Drosophila melanogaster: one gene and its partners. The protein of the gene in region 2 interacts with the protein of the main gene of each other region in a pairwise test. Each region holds a gene or a part of one and is shown on either strand. Other genes may lie near its edges.

Region 1 (3,978 bases), about 11 Mb from region 2:
GGGCTTGCTGGTCTTCCAGCAGCCCACTCCGTTGCGCTGGATCTCATCGAAGAAGATCACCCCAGTCCCAGGATCGTAAGCGTGCATCGTAGACTGGGTGGACGGACCACGGCTTCCGAGTACCCGGAAATCGTTCCCATGATCGGAACGTGCGGCGTTGGATTCCTGCTGCAGAACCCGGTTGGAGACCACAAACTCATTCGTACTGGCCATGGGATGGAAGTAGGCATCGCGGCTCCCATCCAGTTTCTGGGCCCCCAAAGTTATTGAGAAGATGCCATCGTCCCAGCGGAAGGTCTGGCCGCCAATGCTGAGATCCCCGGACAGCGGATCGAAGTTGAAGTAGTTGTGCTCGAAGGACCAGATTCTATCGTTTCGCAGGTGATAGACGTACAGGCGCCGGTACACCAGATCCGGAATATAGGCGTAGGCATCGCCACACTGACCCGCCTTCACATCCACGGTGATGCTGGCCAATCCGCGACCCGTCTCAGCTATACTCTCCGGAACATCGAAGCGCTTCAGCACCTGATCCGTGGCCAAGTCAACTACCCAAATGCTGGGACGGCGGATCTGTTGGCGGTTATCTGGATATGAGAATCATGATTGAGTTTTTTATATTCTTGGTCACCAAATTAGATTAATACGGATCGATCCTGATCTTTTATATTACATGTCAATACATGCCAACTCACTTGGATACTCCAGCATTCCCGTGTCGATAAACCAGAGACGCTGGCATGCATCCACGGAGGTTCTGTAGACGGACACCAGATTCTCCGCACTCGCGTTGAACTGATTAAGCGCAAAGTTGGGATAGGCCCGCAGCTTGGGGCTGCGATTCGATCCGTCCTCGGCCAGATCGATGTAATTCAAGGTGGATGGGATGCCCACCCGTCGACGAGGCATCGTGACAAAGAGGCGGCCGCGGAAGTGAGTGGCTCCCATGGGCACGTTATTGTACGGAATGTAGGAGGCGTTGGGGTCGTCGCTGTCGGCGCGGGAGCTGACCACTACCGGTGTATCGCGGGAGGTCATAATCTTACGCTTTCGACGAGAATACTTTCCAGGAAAGACAACCGGAGCTAGTTGAACAATAAAAAAATAGTACATAAGTAAATACCAATAAATCTATCTAACAAGGCTCGCGAGATTGCTATTGCTGAATGAGAACTAGTAATATCATATTATGAGTACTAACCTGAAAAGCTGGGCCTGTCTTTCCTTCCGCCCGAGCTTAGATGGCCATCTCCGCGATTGTAAAAGTCCATCTGCTTCCATCGGAAGACCTCTATCATGGGATCAGCATCTGCCAAGGAAAGCAGCTGTAACCCTGAGATTAAACTTAGAATCAAAAATTGGGGCGATAACATTGCTCGGTTTTCCTGGGGAACTATAATCTAAGTTCGCCTTGCCAAGTTGAGGCCTCAATAGCGACTGAAAGCCAATTTGTTCCCAATTGGAATCTATTCTCACAGCGGTTCGAACGCAAATTATTAAAATTGATAAGAAAAGCGCGACTCTCACAAGTTCTCAAACCGGTTTTGTGACTTGTTAGCCTGATAATAATCGTTAGTAAAAATCTAATTATTTACATACAAATGGAATTATAAACAGCTTTCAGCTTTTCTTTCTTTTTATGTTGTATACATATATAAATCAATCACAAAAACATGAGAAGAACATTTAGTTGTAAGAAACGTTACGCTATTCGTTTATGAAAGCATTGCTGTTCTAGCAATATATTCTCTAGCAATTAATAATAATTAACCCAAAAATATAAATTTAATGCATAATTTCTAAACTTAGAAAACTAAAGCAACAAATTTCGCGCCAAAAGACTTAACGGCGATTTATTAAATTAATCAAATCACTACCAACAATCGATAAGAGGTATCGATATACAAAGCTGTTGTGTAAATCGTAATTTATTTAGCGTAAACAGTGTAAATAGCAATATGCGCTATAATCTGTTAGCCAGTTCGTTAAAATTGCTGAATAGCACGAAAACCCACAATTTGTTCTTGGTGAACGTGCGCAGCTTGACCGGCGCCGCCCACACCAACGATGCAGTGGCTCCGACCACGCGCCCACCGCCCGCAGAATCGAGGAATCCCGGAGAGGAGCAACGATCACTGCACATCGCGGTAATTGGAGTGCCCAATGTGGGAAAGAGCACGTTCATCAACAACACGGTGAACCACCGAGTGTGTCCCACCTCGGCCAAGGTGCACACCACTCGGCAGTCGAACACGGCCATTTACACCACCGGCCAGACGCAGTTGGTCTTTTACGATACGCCGGGCCTGGTCACGCAACATGAGATTCGTCGGCACCACCTGGACCAGAACTTTAAGAGTGCCTACCGCCATGCCATACAGCATGCGGACATCATCGCCGTGGTGCACGATGCCTCAAATGCCTGGACTAGGAAGGAACTGCATCCCACTGTCTTGGATACGCTGAAGGCGTATAGCAACCTGCCCAGTTTCCTGGTGCTGAATAAGATAGACGCCCTGAAGTCGAAGCGTTTGCTGTTGGATCTGATCAAGACACTCACCAACGACACCTTGACAGTTGGCAAGCGGGAAGTCCAGGCAAAAAGTGCTCTCGCCAAGGAAATAAGAATCAACAAGCGGGAGTCTAGCTGGAGCCATTTTAGCGACGTGTTTCTTGTTTCCGCCTTGACCGGCAATGGGCTGCAGGAGATGCAGAACTACCTGGTGGGCCAGGCTAAGCCCAGGGATTGGAAATACCCAGCTGACATTCATACGGACTCCAGCCCAGAAGCATTAATTGTGGAGAGTGTGCGGGCTCGTCTGCTGGACTACTTGCCGCAGGAGATACCCTACAACCTTAAGTGCGAGATCGAGTACTACAGTGTGGAAAAAAGTGAGTACTTCTGTACACTCGTAAAGAAATCCTTTTCAATTCCGATTTTCTTTGCAGATGTTGTCTACACATCCGTGCAGGTTCAGTGCCCCACCACGCGAATCGAGCGCCTAATCTGTGGCGAGGGTAATGGCAAGCTGCGGCAGATCACGGAGCGAGTTACATCAGACCTGGTGGAGATGTTCGGCCAAGCAGTGTCCCTTACTATATCTACAGTTTCCAAGGGCAAGAAGACCGCCGCTTGAGCACTTGTTGATTACTTGTACTTTATTTGTAACGTTGCATAAACCTAAGAGTTCACAAAAGCTTCAAATGCGCCACCAATTTGTCTAGATCTTCGGCAGGGGCTGGACCCAGTCCGAGGACCGTTGCTGTCCCAGATTCCAGCTGAGTGCGCCCGGCATCCCTCACCAAGGCGGCCACCACGTTCGACTCTTGGGCCTGTCGCTCCAGGGAGTTTAGCTGCTCGAAGTTGTCCACGCGCAGCACTATCTTCGGCTGTCCCAGGCGACACCAACGCTGCAGAATGGCGTTCTGCAGCTTGGTTCCCTGCACAGAGCTCTGGTAGCACATGACCGCCGCATGGGCGCACTGGGCCGCTGTCTTTCCCTTGGACATCTTTAGGTCGGTTCGGACCACCAGCGCCAGTTTGGTGGACTTGCCGAAGGCCAAACCGTTGCTGAGGAACTTCTGCAGGATGCTACTTGACGTGGGCATACTTCTGGCTCTGCTGCTCCACGTACTTCTGCATGCACGCCCGGAACTCTTTCACCTTCTCCTGGCAAGCCCTCCAGTCGCCCGTCTCGGCGATACACTCCTGCACCTTGTAGTGAAGCTCTATGCAGCCGGTCTTCTTCAGCATTAGTTCCACGGGATCCTGGTCCGTCGATGCGGACATTTTCTTCTCCACTTCGCCGGCTGAATTCGTTCGTTTCGAAATTACGAAATTCGGTCAGGGTTGTCAACACATCGAAGGGACACGGATATATTCTGTACGACATTTGGCCCACTATCGAATTGAAAGAATTTACTGTAAAATATATTTTCTTGCATTATAAATGTGTTTATTCCATAGACAGAATAGGA
Region 2 (5,340 bases):
GAAGCGCCGCAAAAAGCCGGCTAAATAAATTGCACAAATGCTGTCCGCACTTCGAGTGGCAGTGGAGGCAATGGCAACTTCCTTTTGACCAGCTCCCGGCTCCTGGCCATCCCGGGGCGGAGTGTCATTAATTTTGATGTGTTTTTAATTCGGTTTTGTTGGGAAAACTCATTGACAAAGGCTCGAAAGAGCACACGCCTCAGAGAACGAGCGAGCGAAAGAGTGCAGCATGGAAATGCTGTTTGGGATTTAATTAAAACTAATGAAAACTTTTGTGCCCACCCACTTGTTCACCCTCTGCAGCCCAGTAGTCAATCTTGCAATTTCTGGCCAACGACAAATGACAGGAGGCAGGCAGGTTTTTAAGGTCCTGCAGCAGGACGTCTGCCAACTGGCACAAGCCAAGCCCAGCACTTGGCCGACATTTCACCAAACCCAAACCGAAAGAGGGGATTTTCGGGTGAGGCACGGACTTCGGATTCGACCTCCGGGCGCATTGACAGAAGAAAGTTGAAAACACTTTGGCCACAATTGTGCAAACCGAACAAAATGAGCTGCAACCACGCACTTGAGGGCAACTCGGAAATGAGCAATGAAAGTGCGTGGCCATGCAATTAGACAACTCCTCCAGGAAGTGGACAAGATGCAACTTTTATGCAGGGAAGCACTCCAGAAAGGTGCACGAGTTTTGATTGGAGGACTCTGGCGATTGAATATGATTAAATCGCTTTAATTACAACACAATAAATTAAAATACGAGGGTAATTGAAAATGTGAATGCCGATAACATCTATATAATTATTGTGCATTTTGTGATGAATTTAAAATGGCAAATAAATAAACCACTTGAAACCACTTGTTTATTTGCGATGAATAAAGAAAAAACAAATATTGTTTGCGCTGTACAATTCAATTCAATCGAAAACAGCATATTGATCTTTTAAACTGGGTTTCAGACTTGCAATTTTATTAATTGACCCTAGTGGAAATAAATCCAAGAGACCATTAATAACCAAAATGTAGGTTATTTTTTAATTAATGGCTTATAAAAATATATATTTGTTTTGTATCACTTAATATTTTATATTATGGCCGCATTGTATGCATTTGTTGAATTATTACCGTTCATTAGACTCTGGCAACTGATATATTTTTGCATAAAATATCCATTCAAGATCCTTTTGAATGACCAACATATGAATTTGTAAGCATTATTTGGAGATTCCAATGTCGATAGAAAATAAATGGCTTTCGAACAAATAATTTGCGGAATGGTTACCAAGCGGCCTAATTTTTCTTCCTGCCGTGGCAAAATTTGACAGGGTTAGGTGCCCTTAGATGGGAACTGGGCCTTTTGCGTAAAAATGATGGTTTGATCTTGGAGGACGGCGTTTCGCGAAGGGACATCGACCCAATGGAGCTTCCATCGATACATCGTGCGGTCGTGGACAACTCAGAAGTCTCCATAAGTCCACCACGACCAGGGTATAAAATGTTGATCAATGGAGCGTGAGAAGTTCTTAGATTTTCGGCATGCGTCTCCTCTACTTCGTGCGATTTGAGTTTTGTAAGCGCATAAACTGAACAATTGGATGCACCTCCAGCTGGCTTAATGTTCACCATGTAGGAATAAGAGGATCCCTTGTTCAGGACTTTGCTGCCCTCGTGTTGGAGCTGCAGTTTCACGAGAAGATCGCCAATCTGGCTGAAAATCTTATCAGTCTCTGAGATAACTTTCTCACATTTTCCTCCCTTGGCAATTAATGGTAGATGTTTCCTTTCGCTAATTGCTGATTTGGTGGAAACCTCGGGATATCTAATCTTTTGGTTCTTTTTACGTTTAATTTCGAAGGTGTCTTGCCGGCGAAGGCCTGAAAGTGGAATCAAGCTGGTGCAACGTGCCTGTGGAGTTGGTTCTGCTGGTCCAATTTTCCCATGAACATTTTTCATCTGCTCTAGCGTGCAGCAAATCTGATTCATACCTGGCATAGTCCGAAACAATAGTTTGCTGTCTTCTATTTTCATGTTGGTAATGCTAATGGATGTATCTTTCTCTTCCAGTCCAGCAATACTAAGGCTCTCCAGATCCTCTTTAAAGCGGCGCTCATTATCTGCATCATTCAGTACAGCCAATGCTTGAGAGCTTAGGTTTATAGGCATATCTAATTCTGGAGGTGGTTCTTCATCCTCCAGGAGGGGAAAATATTGCTGCTCTATATCTGCCTGAACCTTTTTCATCCGTTCCTTTTCTATGGAACTAAGCATTGCTTCCAAATCTGAACGATCCTCATATTTCGCACAGTCTACCAAAATAAATGGTGCAGCCTGGTCATCTATCTCTTGGGATTGGGGTTCCACGTTCAGTCGAATAGGCTCCGTGTTGACAACTCTCGATGGTTCAGGTTGTTCTACTTTTGGTGTCCGATCTCTACGACTCTTCTTCTTCATGACGGCTGAAAAATAATTATTTTTAGACTAAAAAATACTATTTGTTAAAAATATTTAATCAAAAATATACTTATTTTCTACCATCACATTTTCACATAAGCCTCCTAATTTTTTTTCGTACACCTTTTTATGTATCATTCAAGTCAAATTAGCAGCGCCAATCGCATTGTGCTTGATTGTGGCCAAGTCGGCAAAGCCGTGATTAGGCCAACAAGAAACACTCACCTGGTCGCCACGAACTCGATGCTGCCACTCCCACGGTTGTTGTTTCGCTGTTGGCTCGGCTGCAAACAGAAATTTAAATCCCTCAAAAGTACTCGGCGAAGAAAAACGAAATTGAAAAGGATAAAAGTTTTGCGTGCCCCAGAATCAACAGGGACGAACCTTCAGCCCCTGATCCAGCTTCTGCTCCTGAATTTTGCTCCTGTCTTGGCTCCTGGGCACTTGTAGCTGCCTCTGGCCAAAAAGTGGTGGATAGTAGGAGGAGCGTTGGCGGACAGGAACACAATCCGTAAACCAAAACTTTATTTTGTGCTGATAAAAACTTAAATGTTGCTGCCGCTGCCACGCAATCGTAAATGTTTGATATCCCCAAAGGTTAACAATTTCCGTTGCCGCTTGGATCTGCTCTGCTTCGGCCCAAGTTAGTTTTCTTTATTTTGTTTGCCAAGAATTTTGCGGTTGGCCAACTAAACCGCATACACACAGCTGGTGTGGGAGTGTCTTTGGGCTGTCTGTTCGACTGCTGTGAATGTTTTTGTTTGTGTCTAGAATGGGACCAGGAATACGGATAGGGCCCCTGCTACTTGGGGAAAGGCGTACTCTGTTCAATTTAGATCATCTATGTGGAGCTATAGGAATGGACAATCCTGTATTCCGGGAGCTGGTGTTCCCAAATTTTGATATTCAAAATGGTTCTTCGAAAGTCACTGCGCCTGACAATTACGGCAATGCTTTAAATTATATTGTAAAAATAAGAAAACGAAAATGTTGTTCTCCATCTAATACTTTCTCACTCATTACAGCAGAAAACGAATAAATATATGCAATTTCTTTCTTAAATTGTATAAAGAATTTATATTTTTAATAATCAACTCTGAACTCAAAACTACGATTTCCCTAAAAATTGTGAGAGTAAATGCTTTTTTAAAACAAAGCAAATTAAAGCAAAGCAAAAATTTGAAAGTAAAGCAGTAAGTATCATACCAAGAATTTAATTCTTAACTGAGCGTGAAGGGCAGAGCACTAGAAATGCCCTTTCTCTTAACTTTACGATATTCGCAGCCCCACTCACAGGACTAAAAAGCTCTCTCTGCCGCCCAGAACAATAAGTTCCGAGGACTCGGCTCGAAGCGCACACGACGATTCATAAACAAATCGAGCTGTTCCTGGCCGTGGCGATTCAGTTGAATTCGTTACGAGCTGGCGAAAGGACGTGCTTGGCGGTCGTCGTCGTGGTGAAAGGCTATTATATCGAGTGGCATTCGGTGTCTGAGGTCCACGTTCGTGTGTCAGAGTTTGGCCAAAACTAAGGCGCGAAAACACATTTGCGGCGAGTGCGATTTTGTCGAGTTTTACTCAGTGTTTTCCATCGAGCTTTCTTAGCTTGCTAAAACGTGTGCGGGCAATTAAAGTTTCTAGCGTCCCACTGACTGATGGTCGCGCAAATGGCCATTGCAAATTGCATGTTTTCGTGGCGAGTAGTGCATGTCGCAGCATGACACCGAGAGCCCAATAGCAAATGCATGTGAGCCAGCCGAAGAGGGCTTAAAGTGTTTTTTGGCCAGCCCTTGTTCGCCAAAGTGGAATTATCGTCCAGCAAGACAAACGGCACGCAAGGCCGGGCTAATGAAAGCCCCATCAAAGGCAAGTGCAAATTTGTGCTAGGGGTTGGGCAGGAAATCTAATTAAAGACGAAATGGCAAATGCGGAGCATAAAATAATTGCAAATGTAGATGAAACCTGGTGGCAGCATGTGAGTCCCAGGAAATGGGTTTCGCTTGACAAAAAACAAAACCCCAACCACACAACCGAAAGGAATTCGCATACATATCAAATTTATGAAAGGCAACCTCACACACACATTTCCACATGTGGCTATGTGTGTGTGTGAGAGTGAGTGCCCTGGCCAGAACTGAAATTTATTTATTTGTTTTCCTTACTTACGAGGCAGAAGGGACAGGAAAAAGTAAAACTACACCGGCAGCTGAGTTCGGAAAACTCTAATAAAAACAAATGTTGAACAATGGATGTGTGGCACTTTAAATTACTGAAATATGTTCGCTAGTCTTGCAACTTTCAGTAACATGAGAAAAATGATTACCTATAAAATATTTTTAACACTTGTTCAATCATTTTTTGATTATCCAATGATTAGTCCTTTTGTGGCAAAGTCCTTTAATAAACACTTACCAAGTTCAGTTCGTTGGCTCTGGGAAAACATACAGAGGTGGTCAAAAGTATTTTCACAACGCACAATATTTGCAAACTTCAACTTCTTTTTGTTATATTTCTTCTTGTTGTTGTCCGATTTGCCTGAAATAGTTCTTATCGCTTAGCTTGATCTATGCAGAAGGTAGTCGAAAAGAAATACGAAAGATAACGGTTCATAGTACAAAGCTTAAAGCAAAAGAAAATATGCATGCAAGTTGTCAATAGTATTTTCACATGTTTATTGCGCTTCAAAAGTATTTTCACTCAACTTAATTTAGTAAATTTCAGCTTAACATCTAATTTCAACATAAGAATTTCTTTATTTTATATAAATACAATACTAATATTTTGTAACACCACCTTTGGCATCAATAACTGCTTGAAGTCTTTTTGGTATTGACCTTACCAAAGTTTGTGCAAATTCTAATGTCAATTTGGACCAAATCTCCGCTATTTCAA
Region 3 (6,667 bases), on a different chromosome or scaffold from region 2:
ATCACTTGTGGAAACGACGACTCGAACCCACTGCCAAATCGACCACGTCGTTGTTGACAGGGGACTTTGCACCTCTTGACTTCCGGCACATCGGCGTAGTCAGCTGGGGGCAGTATTCATTTAGAGCCACTGCCTTATGGGGCTACTGTCCTGCTCAGTCGCCGGTCTGCTTTCTTGCTGGTTGCAGCAGTTGCAGTTGCAGTTCTCTTTCTGCAGATAAATGCCCACATAGTAATCCCTGGGATTCGCCCCCAGCACCTTGAAACCAACGGGCCATGCCCAGGGGCCTTCAATTATTATATTCGATCAGCAAAGCCATAATCAGTGGGAGCAGGTTGAAAAACTACAACCGAAGTCGGGTTTCGCGAGCGAACTCTCAAGCGGCATAAGCACCCAGTTTTAAGAAGCGATGATCCTATTCCGATCCTGATCCGACAAGCTCCCGCAGCCGTTCCTGGGACTTTTGGATGCGAAATCAGCAGTTTGAAGGTCCTCGATACATTTTGGGGAAAAGTGGTAGGTTTTGCAATTGTGCAGAGCTAAACTTTGCGAATTACTAAATCAATGTTTTCTGCTCTCATTTCTTAAAACGTACAATATTATTTCCTACGATATACTATATTAGTATTTAAATTATGTTTCTCATTCTCTAGCACCAATTATTCTATTGCTTTACCTATTCCATATTAATCAGTTGAGCTAATCTTACGGTATAGATTAGATTCCCACATATTTAATTTAATAAATTTGCAACAGCAAATACTTGTTTTTTAATTGTTTTTTTTATTTTCACATCTACTGGCATGCCAAGGTCATCGGCGGCCTTTCGCACTTTGTTTGGCGGACATTCCAAACTGGTTAGCGGTAGAAAGCCATATTTCCCATTTGAATTTACTAGTAGGCGGGCGACAACATGGGCTCCCCAGCCAAACCGCGGAGCACATTATGGGCAGCAATGGTGGACATGTCGGCACGGGTGCGCTTCGTGGCGGATCCAATATGGGGCAGGACAACTAAAAGAACACATCAAGTGGTTAGTTCAAGATACGATTACACAAACCAAGATAACAATGTTTTAATAAATCAACAAAAGAAGGGAATTATAGAGGTCAACAAGGACGCAGAAATTAGATAAAACATGGAAAGAATAAACGTTACCCTATTTATTTGTAACCTTCAAGAAACCTTAAAGATTCCATTAATTTCAAAATACTTTTAGTCATTGTCAACCACTGAAGAGATAAGTCAAAATCTTTATATTGATAAGGGGCCAGAAATACGAGTATTTGCTAGGTGTGGGCCTGAGGACTGATATCAATAAACTACAACATTATTTTCATTTTCCCACTCACCAACATTGTCAAGCGTCAGCAGCTTGTCCTTGGGCGACAATGGTTCCGGATCCGTGACGTCGAGTCCGGCGGAAAAGATTCGGTTGGCTTTCAAAGCCTCGTAGAGGTCATCCTGGTTGACGATTTCTGAGGAATAAAATAAATAGTTAAAATCGGTCGAGAATCCCAATTAATACTGGTAACTTACTGCCCCTGGCAATGTTAACCAGCACAGCAGTCTGCTTCATCTTGTTGAAGGCGGTGGCATTAAAGACGCCCTGTGTGTCCTTCGTCAAAGGAGAAGCGATCACTACGAAGTCACTCTCGGCCAGAAGGGTATCGAAGTCAACTTTCTTGGCATTGAACTCCTCCTCGATCTCCTTGTGAACACGACGACGGGTGGTGTACAGCACCTTGTCAATGTCGAATCCAGACAAACGCTTGGCAATAGCCTGACCAATGCCTCCAAAGCCGTAGAATCCCACGGTGGAATCACGAATATCCTGGCCCAACAGCCAGTTAAGATGGTAGTTTTCCCACTTGTCACTTTTAGAACGCAAAAGATACAAATTAAGAAATTGAAAGATATATGAATATTTCCAAAATATATAATATACTTGTAGATACTCGAGATACTGATAAATGCCTGTTACTAAGCTAAGATGAAGATAAAAAAAACTTTTTTTTATTGCACCGCCACCTAGCGGCGGTTACATAAACTGCTCGTACCTTTTGTTTGTAGATAAATCGAAAGTCAATACTTTAGAATTTTACATTATGCATGTGAGGAGCCAAAACCTATTGATGATAATGCTTTGTCCACTTGTGAGCGCTATAGAGCAAAAGTGCAAGCGACAGACGAGCGGACAGGCGGTATTCTTAAGAACCGGCTTGCAATTTTAATCGAGAATTCATGCGTATACATTTCACGGCCACACTAAGTTGAAAATAAAGTGTCCCTAGTTTAGCTTAATTATAATAATAATTATGACAATTATAATTTCGGTTTACTCTATTTTTGTCATTGCTCAAATTAATTCTGTAAGTATATGAATCATCACAAACACAACTAACCAACTAGTGGTACTCACTTGTCGATGGTCTTGCGACCCTCGTGAAAACGGCGACTGGCGGCGATCAGGAGACCCACTGCCAAATCGGCCACGGCGGTGTTGAGAACGGTGGGCGTGTGTCCCAGCGGGATCTTACGTCTCTTTACCTCCGGCACATCGACGTAGTCGATTCCCGCCGACATGGTGGAGATGGATTTCAGCTGGGGACCGGCAGCATCGAGGGCCTCGGCATTGAGGGGTTCGTGTCCACCCCAGAGAACGCCATCCACGCCACGGATTTTCTCCAGCAGCTCCGCCCGGTTGATGGGAACACTCTGCACCTGGACGATCTCGCAGTTCTCCTTCAGCAGATCAATGCCCTCCTGGGGAACCTCGGGATGTGTCACCAGGACCTTGAAAGCCTTGCCAGCGGACATGGTGCGATTCTGGCTTTGATTTCTGCTGCCCCTGCGTGGGAGGGAGGCATTACTACCGGCGATCAGCAAGGCCACAATCAGTGGCAGCAGGGAGTTGGTGGCAATCGATCTCATCTCGAAGTATTGCGATCGAAGTCGTGTTTCGCGAGCGACTGAACTCTCAAGCGGCATACGCACCCAGCTTTAAGGAGCGGCGAGAACGGAAAGCCGCTGATCCGACTGCTCCGACCCACGATCGCAGCCGATAAACCAATGAACCTGTTTAGCATTATAATCCGCGCTCTAAATCTCTCCCTATATATGTATGTACGTATGTATGTATGTCTGTAGGCGTTCAAGCCGCCGAGCAGCTGATGTGAGTCTCAGTCTCTCCTACGGCGTATGTATAAGACGCACAACTGGTTTGCTGGTTCGAGAACTAAGGTATAATATTGGAGTTTTATCGAAGTGGATTCAATAATCAGGAACGGTGCAAGATTATTTCTGGGTTAATAACAATAACATTTGGCAAAAATAAACATTCTAAAATTAAGTTTAATTTTACTTAACATGTGGAGCGTAATGAAAAAATTACGAAACATAGATGAATTTATCAAAGACTAAGAGCCAATTATTTTGGCTAAAAAACAGAGACAATTATTTCAGTGGAAATACGATTATATACTGCGGTCAATAATTTCGAGTAGCTAAAATACATCTATCTCCCATGTTTTTTAAAGTACTTAAATTTCGCGGTTATACGGTCGCTATCTCCGCACAGACGCACGAGATTTTTATGGCGAAATTCCGCGAGCAAAAACTTTCAGATATGTTCGCATCTAATCATTTTTCCACGACTCATTCCACTCAACACTTTTGACAATTTGATGGTTTTTTAGCATTGTTTGTTTGTTTGTGGGAGGGAATGGAAAAACCCACAGTAATATTTTGATATTAATTACACTCAATGTCACCAAAGAACAAACCGTCACTCTTAAAAACTCTCTTAACCAAACTGTTTACGACACCAAATGTCACAAGAGAACTACTTTATTATATTATTATTAATTTGTTCTTTACACTATGCTACACTCTGCCTCCAAACGCACCCGACGTGAAAATTTAACTAAAACTTTTTTCCATTGGCTATGCAATAAAAGCTCGCAATCCGATTTCATTTTTATGTTCTCTTATTTAGACTTTATACTTTCTCTTACCGTGAGATCTATAGAACTAGAATACTTTTCAGCTTTGCGTTTGCCGCACGACTGAAGTATTGGCCCCAAAGCTTAAGCCTTATATAGAACTCATATCGTATCGCAAATGAATTATCAATTCCCAAAAAAGAGTTAATACGAGAGTAATTTTCAACATATTAATTCGGTTTACATTTTATGGAATGGTGCACAGATATTTTTGAAGTCAATTGTATAAATTCGTTAAAATAAAATAACATATATGAAATATTTAAAACAATATGCGATCTAACAAACTTTTATTATCGTAAAAATACACCCCTTAAAGGCCGGAAACTCACTAAAATCTCAGTTAAAAATGTAGTTCACTCTTTAACATAATATTGGGGTTATATCAACCAGATTCCAGTACTATCAGCGATCAGCGATTCCCCCTCCGATTAGACCATCATTGGGCATCCCTTTCTGTCGTTGCACACTGCGCTTTGCCGCTACCATCAGTCCGTCCCTTTCCAGCTGCTTATCTCGAAAGGCTCCTTATCGGTGCGAACGAGACAGAGACGGAACTCTTTGGGAGAGTGAGCAGTTGGGAAAGCTGTGCGCCTGCTCGAAATACCAGTTGGGGACTTTTCCCATGTGCTCGCATGCAATTTCCAACTGGAATGGGCACCACCGCAGTTGGAGCCACCGGAGCAGTGGAGCCATTTGGCCATTTAGCCGTGGTGCCATGGAGCCAAAGCACTGCAGTCGGTTGGAACGTGGAACCTACACGACCAGCACTATTTCGCAGTTAAGTACGTTTTTTTGTGAGCGGATCTGCTCAAATTTTGTCCGCAGAACAGCAGGCGCACAGCGTTGGCCAACGCACACTGCGCTTTTTCGTCTGTGTGAAAGCGGCGGCAAGAACCGTTCGCGTTGGCGTTAGCGTCGCTGGCAGTGATGCGCGAATTAACTAGCTAGAACTTCCGACAAAAGGCACAGAAACTTAAAACAAAATACTAAATTACTTTACGTCTACGTGTAAGGAGTAATCAAATATTTTACTGGTTAGAACTGAATATATTCATAGACATGATAATACATATACATATTTATAAGATATTCCAAATGTTAAAAACAATAAAATTATTGATATTGTTACTATACGAAAATTGACTAATCTAAATTTTACTGATTTACGATTTAAGTATAGAACTATTTTAACATAGTTTTAACCATAATACCGCTCTAGTGAAATATCGAAACGGACAGTTTGGCTTTTTGTTTGCCTAGATTGGCTTCACTGAAAGTTGTGCACTTCCTCTTACCTTTGAGATTTGGCCCAGACACTGCACTCTGCCTAATTGAAAGCGAAACGAAAAACCAACAAAATATTAGCGCTTTGTGCGAGGGTGGATTTTTTTGTTGTCGTGACGCGGCGCAGCGTCTGTGCCTGCTTTTTCTTCGTCCCCCACAACGGTTTACACATTTTCTTCGTGCCTTGTTCTTTTGTTTCGCGGCCATTGTGCAGCAGAGTGCCGCACATTGGTGCTCTTCTCGCTTTTATGCTTTCCTGTTACCAAAACACGATGCGTCATTTTGACTGACGTAACCGGAGACAACATTCCAATTGGAGACAGCTGTCTATCAGACGCGACCGTCGTCGTCGTTACGTCTGCTGCCGCCGGCATTGCCAGCGCTAAACTGCGGTTTGGTGAACAAGTAATCAGCAACTGATGACAGCAGACAGACGCCAACGAGAGTGTGTGCGGCGGACAGAGAAGAGAAAATGCGGAGAGATAGAGATAGTGGAGGCGGACAGTGAAAGACGGGGTATAACGGAAAAAATGGAATTTGAGAAGCGCATCTCTCGATCTCTCCACTGAACATATGAAAATACAATGTACATATGTACATATGTATGTAAATAATATTTATAAGTTGGGATATTAGAAAGCCTAACACTAGGTCTTCGTTTTAGGCTAATAAATTACTACAGTTTCGATATAATCGGAAACTGAAAATGAAAACGTTTACTTAGTTCAGTTCCCAACTAAGAACAAAGTGGGCATACTTTTAGGCACTTCTAAGCACTATTCCTGATAATGCTTAATGCAATAAAAGTTAATGTGTCACCAAAAATACACATTGTAGTACTTGTTCACATTTCTTAAAAAGTAATTTACAAACATTTTAACTTAGAACTTAGAACCTTGCTAATTGCATTCACAAGGTAAGATTGGGATTGCCTTCGCACAGCACTCAGCGGGTTAAAGTCAACTGTCAAGGGCAAGTTGCAGACACCTAAGCAGCATCCACAAACATATCCGTACTGCTTGCGCCGCATTCTGCTTGCTTCATATTTGGCGACACCAGCAGCGGGAATCGCAAATGGCGGCCGAGCGACAAAGCTGCAAAGCGAGGCGTCGCGCACTCCGCGCAGGCGCTTTTGGAGCGCCCAACTCCACTCAACGGCCTGTCGAGAAGGCCAAGATGAAAAAAAAGTGGGACGTGCCGGGCCACAAAAAAAGTGGCCAACCGTCACCGATTTTTATGGTGTAGGCTCCCTAAAATTGACGCGCAACATTGAGGCAGGTCCCTCTACGCGATATAACGGAACAGGCGCCCAGAGTCGCCAGCAGCGAGATAACCCGACGGAAGACAAAAAGCGAGAGCGAGCTGTGTCTGTGTGT

Evidence for each region.
Region 1: the proteins of CG10164 (region 2) and CG7488 interact in a two-hybrid assay, tested with the Drosophila melanogaster proteins (one large-scale study listed by BioGRID).
Region 3: the proteins of CG10164 (region 2) and CG9331 interact in a two-hybrid assay, tested with the Drosophila melanogaster proteins (one large-scale study listed by BioGRID).

The regions. Positions count from the first base shown.
Region 1 is NT_033777.3:12,993,733-12,997,710, forward strand, and holds CG7488 (uncharacterized protein), read left to right. Parts: upstream 1-1,887; 5' UTR 1,888-1,958; coding exon 1,959-2,892; intron 2,893-2,949; coding exon 2,950-3,137; 3' UTR 3,138-3,189; downstream 3,190-3,978. Other genes in the region: yellow-f2, read right to left, coding at 1-587, 696-1,085, 1,202-1,373; CG17327 (uncharacterized protein), read right to left, coding at 3,190-3,609; CG44194 (uncharacterized protein), read right to left, coding at 3,593-3,790.
Region 2 is NT_033777.3:23,553,560-23,558,899, forward strand, and holds CG10164 (uncharacterized protein), read right to left. Parts: upstream 3,385-5,340; 5' UTR 2,674-3,384; intron 2,454-2,673; 5' UTR 2,449-2,453; coding exon 1,288-2,448; 3' UTR 764-1,287; downstream 1-763.
Region 3 is NT_033779.5:20,821,843-20,828,509, reverse strand, and holds CG9331 (uncharacterized protein), read right to left. Parts: upstream 4,869-6,667; 5' UTR 4,395-4,868; intron 4,077-4,394; exon of another isoform or gene 3,786-4,076; intron 3,239-3,785; 5' UTR 3,090-3,238; coding exon 2,998-3,089; exon of another isoform or gene 2,935-2,997; coding exon of another isoform or gene 2,843-2,934; coding exon 2,423-2,842; intron 1,878-2,422; coding exon 1,540-1,877; intron 1,479-1,539; coding exon 1,353-1,478; intron 1,014-1,352; coding exon 895-1,013; 3' UTR 786-894; downstream 1-785.